Schizosaccharomyces pombe: one gene and its partners. Changing the gene in region 3 together with the main gene of any one other region gives a genetic interaction. Each region holds a gene or a part of one and is shown on either strand. Other genes may lie near its edges. The genes, in order: tim13, caf16 and pfl9.

Region 1 (3,239 bases), 1.0 Mb from region 3:
GTCGACGCCTTACAAGTAAATACGGCTCAGTTACCATAATGACGGGACCGCTGTATTTACCTAAAAAAAATGAACGTGGACAATGGGAAGTTCAGTATCGAGTAATTGGCAATCCTCCCAACGTCGCAGTTCCTACTCATTTTTTTAAAGTAATCATTGCAGAAAAATCAGGAGAGCCTACCTCAAGTCCATCAGTAGCTGCATTCGTTCTTCCCAACAAACCTATTGCTGACAACTTTCCGTTAAAGAACTTTGCAGTTCCCGTTGAGGTTGTGGAACGAGCAAGCGGATTAGAGATCTTATCAAACGTACCCAAGGGTAACCGAAAACAACTTTGCAGTGAAGTGGTGTGTCAGTTAAATGTTAAGGAGTTTGTTGAATCAGTTAAACAAAAACAAAAGAATCAAGGTAAATGATAAGAATAAGGAAATTTAATGAATCTCTAGTTTTTCTAGTTTTTCCGGTGATCGTTCTTTATTATGAAAATATTTAAACTGTTATTTACACAATAATACTTAAATGCTACATGTCAAAGAAACAATTATAAGTATTTTACCCAGTAGTATAACAACACTTGTAAGTGTTTAGCATGATTAGGAAAAGAACATGAAACGAATTTTAATTGCTGAAAGTTTATAATTATTAGAGAGAAAGCGCGTGAGCTACGTTGAAAAGAAAAATTTCTACGTTGCATATTAAGCTTTGCCGTCACTTCACAACTATACAACAAGACACATATCATAGGAGAGTAAAACAAAATGATAGAAAAAAAAATCATTATTATTCAGTTGAGATTTTTCTGCTCTCGTTGCATACGAGAGATATAGGTTCGAGAAACAATGTTCCAAGCATCCATATAGCGTTCCATACATTTGGAAACGCAAGACTTTTGTCTAGTTAGAATAAAAGTATTTTAATAGTTCTCATACCTTTTCATTGGGATCGAATGTGGAACCAGGCTCCGGGATACATTTATCAAAACAGTTCTCATTGATTTTCTAGATAAACCGATTAGTTAAAACATTCAATAAAACATAAAAAATGAATGGAGCATACACTTATCAATTCGCCAGCTTGAGCAACAGCAAGTTCCTGACGAATTTGTTTCATGAAAATGGATTTTTTGTCTTCAGAAGAAGGTGCATTTCCACTATTTCCACCGAAAATGCCCATTTTGTTTAAGTATAACGTTAAAACTTATGAATGTGGATAATTTTTACTCCTTTACAAGGAAAATTAATGAGGAAATGGTACGTTCGTGGAAAGTACCAAACGGTGTACTTAGGGAGACTAATTCAGAAACCGGCCATCATCACCAATTAGACTTCGTTAATAGAAAATGGATTTTCTAATATGCTGACATATGCGATACAACCAGACAGCAATCTTTGTTTTGTTTTCTACTTGGTATAAAAAAAAAAGATTTAATAAAATATTTCTAAACTAATGGATAGATATACTATTCGGGTCCTTTTGGTGAGTTTAGAAATAAAAGTTTTTTCAGCGTTTTTTTATTATTATTATTTTTAATATTTTAATATACGAAATGAATCGTTCATGACTTTTCATTACCCTTGTTTAGAAAAAAAAATAAAAATCCCAATTTGTAAGAAATTTTTATAGAGTTTTATAGTCTCGAAATTAAATCATGGAATTAGCACATCTTTTACTGCAAATAATCTGAGAATCAAACAAGTCACGTAAACATTTCAATGTTTAATACTGCTAGCGATATTATGGTGTATTAAATTTTATAACAAAAACGAGTTAGCTTGACATTGATAAAATTAATGCGACTGTTATTTACATTGAGAATTATATTGTTAAGTGAAATAGGATTATTCGAAGGAAAATCTATTTCGCTTACTATTCCTTTATATTTCTTTAGAATGATACCTTTGGATTGACTATCAATTGTATCTGTAAATCCACGGACACTTTCTTAATTCTGCGAAACTGCATGGGCGGCAAATTTTTCTTATCTTGAAATCTCTATATAGCCTTGCCCGAGGTAAATAAATAACAGGACGGCTGGGAGGTTGATCTTATCCAGAGCCAAACTCACCACCAAATCTCTTCTGTTTCTTTACAGTGGGAGAAATATTGTTTACCATTGTTATTATTATTATTATAGATATTCCTTTTAGTGTTTATTTTTTAAAACAAAAAAAAATACTTGTAACGAATTTTCATTAAGTATCATCTCTTGGATCGCTAAAATAAATCAGCGAATATTATAGTGCTGAAGCATTACACGTTCGAGGAAGTTGACAAATTTTAATAATTGCTTATCATTCCTATTAAATTAATAGTTTGATTTCCCTTTCAGGTTGCTTCGCTTTTGTAGCCCTTTGTTTCCCGTTCTTTTTATTTATTGTCCTCCACACTCATATAAAAAACTTTGACCATAAAAAGCTTAGACAAGCTCTTCTCAAATTCATTTTAAAATTATCTGTTCGCAAGCATTTTTGTCCCATGTCTGTGATAGCTCCTTCTTTTGATATGGCTAACATACTCACGGAGTTGTCTTCATTTTTAGGAGCATTATCCCTGGGATGTTGGGTCGTTTTACTGATCCCTCAATTACTTGAAAATTATAAAAACCAGTCTGGTGAAAGTATCTCTGATTTATTTTTAATCATCTGGCTTATTGGCGATTTCTTCAATGTACTTGGTTCCATTTACGGAAATGTCTCTTCTACTGTATTGGTTCTCTCATTTTATTACATTGTCTCTGACAGTACCCTACTTATGCAAATTTACTACTATCGTTGGAAAGCTGCCCGTCGTATTGCCAGTCGTGAACACGAACCCTTACTCCAAAGTCGTTCATTAGAAGAAGGTCTTCATGCACCCATTGGTAAACAACAAATTTGGTGGGATCGCCTTTCTACCCGTCAACAATTTGGTGTAATGGGATGTGTGGTTATTGTCTCGACAATCGTTGGAAACTTAATTATTTCTAGTGCCTCTTCTGACAAGAGTGATGATGACTTGAATGCATGGCCGTTTACTGCCGGTTGTATCAGTTCTGTGTTATACTTCTGTGCTCGTATTCCTCAAATCATCAAGAATCACAAAGCAAAGTCTACCGAAGGATTATCCATTATCTTTTTTGTGTTGGCCTCTGTAGGAAACACTTCATACGCTTTCAGCATTCTCGTATTTCCCGCCTCCGATTACTTAAACTACACATATGCTAACCTGCCTTGGATACTTGGCGCGTTCAGCACCATCTT
Region 2 (3,636 bases), 720 kb from region 3:
AAATGTTGAAAAGGACTTTAGCAATGAAGGCATTTTTTCGAATCATAAAGCTCTTCATCCTGATGACCATATCTGTGAAGTCATGGTTCCATGGATTCCATCAGGAAAATCAATGGTGGATGAACTTAATTCTGATATTACTGAACTAAAAACAACCCTTAAAACAACTCTCTTAATGTATGGTGAAAATCCAGATGAACCTACATCGAGTGCTAGGTTTTTCAATAATTTAAACGAAATAATACTGGAGTACAAAAAGGCTAGCACTGTAAATCAGAAGATGGAGAAGGAAGAAGAACTTGCTTTTCTAAGACTACAAGCTTTAAAAGCATCTGTTAAAAGCAATAATGCAGAAAATAGTGGTTCTTCAAAGAATGAGGAAGTTTCAGCAACAATGGAAAATTTAATATCTCAGCTACAGAAAGGTTTGTGTGATGATTCTTTAAGCAACAAAACCGATTGCACTGAATCATCGAAACAAACAATCGAAACTCTAATGAATTATGAAAATGATAAACAAACTCTAGAAGGCTCAAATAAAAAGAGACAAACAGTCGTCCTTAAAGCTGAATGCATGCTTAAGCAGCTGGAGAATAACAATGAACTTAAGAGATAATGATGTTTGAAATGTTAATGACTTTTAATGACAATTAAATGACTTAAACAAATTATAATGAAATTATAATTAATAAAAGGTATAATTATTAATTCTAGTAAGACTGTAATGCTTGTTAAAGATAGAATTAAGCATCTAAAGGATAACTTTTCTAGTAATCTATTTTGCTCGGGAAATCTTAAAGTAATCAGTAAATACATCAGTTCCAACTTTTAATGATTCTTGAACGTCGTCCCAGGTACTACGCTTTTCCTCTTCTCGAGTTCCCCTATTTTTTTTGTCTTCTTTGAGCCATTCCAAACATGTCTCTAGAAGGGCGCTATTTCCCGTAGAGGACCTTGTCATCAGAGCACCAAACTTGGATATTGGTCCATAATCCACGATACGCCCAAGACTGAGATGGACCAAGTGAGTTGGCCACTCAGCTAAACCATCAAATATATGTGTTGCATAAACAATAGTAGCATTCCTTACTTCCGTTTCCTCTTGCAAAAAATTTAACAAATCTGCCCGGGCAAGAACATCCAAATCTACAGTTACTTCATCAAGTAAAAGTACTTCAAATGGACGCAGAAGTCCCATACATAGTTGAACACGTCGTCTTTCACCATCGGACACTGCATGCATTCGCCAACGAAGATCTATATCAAGAATTGAAATCAAGAAATCCCTACGTTCGGCAAATTTATCTCCTCCAACAGAAGCAATTAATCGTGCAACACTCATATCCCTATGTATAACAGGGTTGTTAACCCATTCTACAAACGCACACATCAGTAAAATTTGATGTTAAAAGAACTTACCAGTTCCTAAATAAACAAATGCAGAACTAGACTCACGAAAAGGATCTTTACCACCCACCGATATATGTCCTGCTTTCGCAAGCGATTTTCCAGATAAAAGTTTAAGTAAAGTTGATTTTCCTGTTTAACAAAATTCCAAGAGGACATCAGTTAGCATTTAAATATTCTTCATCAATTTCCATAACACCGCGAAACTTACCAGCTCCATTGGCTCCAACAAGTAAAGTCCTTGATCCTTTAGGAAGATCTAAAGTTACGTGATCAAGACTTAAAGGCTGCTTTGGAGAAAACGTGTAAGAGAGGTTTGAAACAGTTACTTCCATTTTGAAATAGAATGTTTTAACAGTAGTAAAATATAATTATCTAAGAACTTAGTTTTACAATATATAAAGGATCCAAAAAAAGGCGCAAATTAAATAACACTCAAACTTTGTGGGTTAGCTGGATTGTGTTTAGTACATCTGTGTATCAAGTAAAGTGTGGAGGGAATGCAGTAAAGTTGTTATAAGCAAGACCTCGTACTAATAAATTAGCTTTCCAAGTCTTTGTAAAGAACCTTTTTTAACTATTAAGTAATGCTGCCCATATTTGGAGATGCTATTAAGACCTTGAACACACATCCTGCGGAGTCTTGGAAAGAAAAATGATTAACATCGATGGAACAATTGGCAAACAATATATATAGGAGATAGAAGCAGATAACATTTGTAATCAACTACAATTTATGCTACATATTATTTGGCTTAAAACTAAGTAATAATACTTTCCTAAGGTCACCCCATTTCGTTTAAGACAACAGACAAACCTAACATTCGCATGGAATTTTTTAACAGCAGGCGGACATTTCTCAAATAAAAAAATATAAATATAATATTATTTCATTCCTGCTAAACGATTTTAGCTTTTCAACGTAGTATTGCCCATATCATTAGACTTAATATATTAAACAACAAACAAACATCGATATGGGCGAAGGGCTTTATATAACGCGGTACGTAAAATAGTCTTACCTCAAACCGTTTTCTCACACCGTGATTTTAATTGAATTAAGTATTACTATTTTTCGGTTCTTTAACCAATTGTTTTAATTAGATAGTGTACATTTTTCGTGAAAAAAAAGAACCATTAATATCAGCACTTAATTATTCACTTTAATGAGCAGCAGAAGAAATGACTACCACTATGATGGAAACGACCACCAGTATCGTAGTCCTTTGAAATCAAACGTTGATCAAAACAGTTTTTATGAATCTAGTTATAGGAGCCGACAATCCTACCATCAAAGAACAAAAACACCCAGATCTAGTTATGATTCACCCTCTTCATCTACAAATTCCAAGGAACACAATTCTCCCTATCATTATAGAGTCCCTAGCAATAATTCAACAAGAGCGTCTTTTGGGGCAGCTTCTACGGATACGAATGTAGAATTGCCGAAGATTAATCTTCCAGACTCGAGTTTGTCAAGTAAACTTCAAAGCTGCAAGTCTGCGTGCGAGAATTCATCCCAGAGTTTATTGAATGTCGAACAACAATACGCTCAACAAGTACATTTTTGGGAAAAAATTAGAACGGATATATACCGAGAAGGTCTACGTAGTGATGCAGCTGTAAAAAGCTTAAACGATTTTGTAAATAATGTCAGCTTCTAAATAAATTATTGCAATCATCGTCTGCGTACAAATCATTGAGCTTCCGCTTTGTGGATATTATTATGACTTTTTATTGAAAGTTTTATCCCAAACCCATATTTATAAACATGAATGTTTTTGTATAGCGTTTTTTTTTTTAAAAAAAAAAAATAAAAATAAAAAAACGCTTCATACACTCTAAACATTCTCAGACTACTTCGGTTCTCTCCCTTTTAACGTATAATATGCATTTTAGATTTTCTGAAGTTTCATTACGGTGAAAGTGCTGTAATGGACACAGCGTTCTAAATGTCTTCTTTTTTAATTTTCAAAAACAAACTCGAAAATAACAAATTTTCGCCTTGCATATCCAATAAACGAATATGTCTATAGCCTTGTTGCAGTCTGTCAATCGGACAAGTAAAATTAGCAAATATAGAGTCATTTCCATTACTTCCTCGATGATGGACGAGAAATCGGATCATGGAATAAAAGTCATCACTAATTATACTCTCATAAACCATGGTTTCTCCCCAAAAAGGTCGAAATCCATTTTCGTGCACAACTTTGGAACACCAACGAAAAG
Region 3 (3,698 bases):
TAAAATGCAGAAGTACTCAGTAGTCTGTTACAGAATTTATGTTTTTGGTGTTATTTGAAGACAAAACCTTAATGGATTCGTTTTATACCTGTAAATATACTATCCAATTCTATCAAACGTACTTAAAAACAAATACCGATTCATAGAATTTGTTACGATGAAATATTTCTAATAATAGTATACTAATTGCAAATAATTTACCAGGTCCAAAGTCATTGATCTGGACTATATTGACATTCCAAATATTAATAGTATGTCTTAGCGTATATAAAAATTAAGAAGACTTCAACGCTAAGTATGGATTCAGCTCTTTATTTTGTTATAAAAAAATAACTCAATGCTAAACAATAAAATAGCCGAGCAGTTTTCAATTAAGAATTGTCTAGCGAAATTTCATTAAACAACCTAAATCATATGGAGTTTTTTTCTTTTTTGATATTTGGCTCAGGCAAAGAAGAAAAGTTAAGAGTGGTATTTCTTAATAAATTAATGTCTCAAAAAAGGAATAAATTTTTTTTTTAAAATGCTAAATTTTAAACGTCCTCAGTTGCATAGATGAACTTTAAATGATAAGCGAACGAAATGCAATCGATAAATCATTGTCTCTTAGTAAAGTGTTCGGTTAAAATGACTGACATTTCGTCCGAAATAATATCAGTGTAAATATCATGGGAAAATTTCGTGTATTTCTTTATTTGGAATGCGCAGCAAAGTATCAAGAGAATAATTAGTGTTTTATATGATTTAATTTTATTGCCGGTACAATTGTATGGTTGTTCTGATAAATATACATGCTTTGTCGGTTTATCACTCTGAATAAATTTGTGATATATATTGGTTTATTTATTCAATCTATGTATCATGTAGTTGATGCTTTCATTTTTTTCATAATTTTAAAAATATCAGTTAATCATTTATTCAGCAACTGTAACGTTAAATCATTAATATATATATCTATATCGGCATGCATTAAGTTGCTACCGTTAAACATCTTAATTAAAACTAGTCTTTTATAATAACTAACTCTTTAATTTTTTGAAATTAGTTCAATTTACTGTGGAGGGCAGTCGATTGATAAAAGCTTTTCGATTCACTTGTAGCTTTAATCGGTGCTCGTTGCATCAATATTGGTTTATATAAGCCAAAGCTTTCATGGCTATTAATGAGTGATGCCGGTTTAACTACTCTAAAATGTTTTGAAAATGATAGGTATGTTTTGATTTGCTTCATCTTTTTATTTCAGTATTAACAACCTAGTAATTAAAATGTTAACAAAAAAATTTGACTACCTTTTCGAATCACATGTTTTCAGTGCTAAGTTGCCTCCAGACTGTCTGCAGTGAGTATAGGTGTTTTATAAGAAATTTGCTACATAGTATCAAATCAATAATATGAATGTAGTTTTATCAAAAAAATATTCATTAAGGCGACTGTACTGAAAGAGAAGTAGGTTAATAATAGACTCTTAAGAAAATTAACGAGAGGCGTCAATTTCTGTTGCTAGCATATATTGCGAACTCGATCGGTATGTGAATTACTACGAAAACATGCGAGCCGCGTTAACAAATGTGCATTGCCTTGTCTTAAAGTAACTAAGTTTCTCAGAAGCAGTATAAATAGTAGACTACATTAATTTCGAAGTTCCGATAATGATCTTTTTATAGAACTCAAATTTTTTAATTTGATATTGAGAATTCGAATAAAAATAACTATGGGATTAACAATAAGGGGGTTTCCGAAATTTTGGGTACTGGTTTTATATGCGCAGTTTTTGTATAAATGAACAGGCCTTCTCACACGTCTTTTCGGTTCATATTTAGCGATCAGAAGTCGTTAAAAATTTTTCTCCTATAAACAATGAATGTGGTGAAGTACATAATTTTTAGCTTTGCTCTGGCGCCTTTGTTATTAGTTAACGCGAACACATATAATTTTACACAGATACAAAAGCGAAGCGTAAACCAAGCTGTTCTTGAATCAAGTCAAGATACCAATTCAGTAGGCGGTGAAGCTTCTTCAACAGCTTGCCCTTTATTCACTACTATTTACACTAATGGTATAACACCGGGAACTACAACGATTTATCCAACATCTATCTCGACATCTGGCGTATCTAGCAACAATATCGATGAAACTTCGGTATCCTCTGAGTCTATCATCACATCCACTATTACGACTACTATAACATCTGGTTCGCAACTCTATACTACTACCATTACCGGTCAAAACACACCTGTTGATACCGTTGAAGTGGTAATCCCTACTGCTGGTACTTTCACAACTACATTGACTTCTGGATCCAGTTATCCTGTCGCAACAACTACAGTGCGAACAGCTTCTGGAACACAGTCAGGTGAAGTGGAGGTTATCACACCGTCCTGTGGATGCAGTCCTGAAAATTCATTCCATCTTAAAATAGACAATGATAAAATCAGCCCTTCCTACGTGTACATGGATCCAAACGCACCCGTGAGAACTAATGGTGCCGGTCGAGAGGGGAATATGTTTGCTTCAACTAATGGAGACAACGAGGGACTAAACCTTTTCTACTATGATTCCACTATTCAACGAGTATTAACATGTGATTGTCAAAGACCGTCTTACACTGTATACATTGAAGATCCAATTATAGGCAATGGTTTTTCAAGTGCTTGGAATCTCATTAAAAATAGCGATGGCATATTTACTCCTGTTGAATCAAGAAATAATGAGCCACTACACTTTCATGTAGATAACAATGGAAGAGTATGGATGACTTCACAAGAATATGATACAGAAGTTTCATCAACCGACGAAAGAAATTTTAGGGCCAATGATGTTACACTTCAACTGTATTAGTTGAAGCAGCAAATTTAGAATTGCACATACTCTCGTTTAATTTTTTGTATTTCAGGTCATACATATAATTTTTTTTACATTCATTTGATATAATATTTTAAAATTACAATCCATGAAATCCTTTATCAATCCCTATTGAAGATGTCAAGAAGTTGACTTCCTCGGATTTCATATTTTTCTCAAGTTCTGCTGTAAACTGAAAATAGGGATATTTAAATAGTTCTTAATTATTTTTTCCACTAGAAATTGATTGCTCTACTAATAAAATACTGTTCCAAGTTATCGGCACAATTATTACTTTCGTAAACAAAATTTGTATTTTATTTATTTTTTTTTTTTTTAAATTAATCATAACTAGTGGTATTAGGAATGCATATTTTAATCTAAGTTCAAATTAATTGCTTTCATAGTAATCATTGATATTTGTTAAATAACTAGGTTTAGGTAAACCGTACTAAAATTGAACAGGAAAGGATAAATTTTAGTAAATTTTGTAGATTATGCTTTTCGTAAAAAATAGTGGTGGCCGGTTTTAAAGATAAGTTTGGATAAACTGGTTATAATTTCCTTAAGTGAAATTTAATCACTTAAAAAAATATTAGATCTAAATAGTAACTATAGACAAGTTTTGTATAAGGAAAATGACAATTAAAGATAAGGAGCTAGACTAGTCTAGCGCTTGTTTTGAGTTTAATATTAGACCATTCAGAATTTTTTTACTCATTATTACTAAAAAAGAAAACTTAAGCAAGAATTTAAATTGTGGAAAGTCTCTTTTACTTATTAATAATTGTAAGCAATAAGGATAAGAAAATCAAAACAGTTTTTTTTAAAAATGTTTCTAAATTTAAAAAAAAATC

The links.
Region 1: mutations in pfl9 (region 3) and tim13 together harm fitness more than expected from each alone (negative genetic interaction), as found in Schizosaccharomyces pombe (one large-scale study listed by BioGRID).
Region 2: mutations in pfl9 (region 3) and caf16 together harm fitness more than expected from each alone (negative genetic interaction), as found in Schizosaccharomyces pombe (one large-scale study listed by BioGRID).

Annotation. Positions count from the first base shown.
Region 1 is NC_003424.3:4,482,012-4,485,250, reverse strand, and holds tim13 (TIM22 inner membrane protein import complex subunit Tim13), read right to left. Parts: upstream 1,261-3,239; 5' UTR 1,174-1,260; coding exon 1,057-1,173; intron 999-1,056; coding exon 930-998; intron 887-929; coding exon 785-886; 3' UTR 594-784; downstream 1-593. Other genes in the region: endodeoxyribonuclease Pnu1, read left to right, coding at 1-416; G-protein-coupled receptor Stm1, read left to right, coding at 2,476-3,239. UniProt on the Schizosaccharomyces pombe protein: Mitochondrial intermembrane chaperone that participates in the import and insertion of some multi-pass transmembrane proteins into the mitochondrial inner membrane.
Region 2 is NC_003424.3:4,810,205-4,813,840, reverse strand, and holds caf16 (CCR4-Not complex subunit Caf16), read right to left. Parts: upstream 1,874-3,636; 5' UTR 1,743-1,873; coding exon 1,619-1,742; exon of another isoform or gene 1,540-1,618; coding exon 1,420-1,539; exon of another isoform or gene 1,375-1,419; coding exon 776-1,374; 3' UTR 662-775; downstream 1-661. Other genes in the region: formin Fus1, read left to right, coding at 1-616; histone H2B-K119 ubiquitin ligase complex (HULC) subunit Shf1, read left to right, coding at 2,574-3,071; phosphoinositide phospholipase C Plc1, read right to left, coding at 3,356-3,636.
Region 3 is NC_003424.3:5,525,835-5,529,532, forward strand, and holds pfl9 (DIPSY family glycoprotein), read left to right. Parts: upstream 1-1,857; coding exon 1,858-2,838; 3' UTR 2,839-3,125; downstream 3,126-3,698. UniProt on the Schizosaccharomyces pombe protein: May be involved in agglutination during conjugation or other aspects of colony formation. Induces flocculation when overexpressed.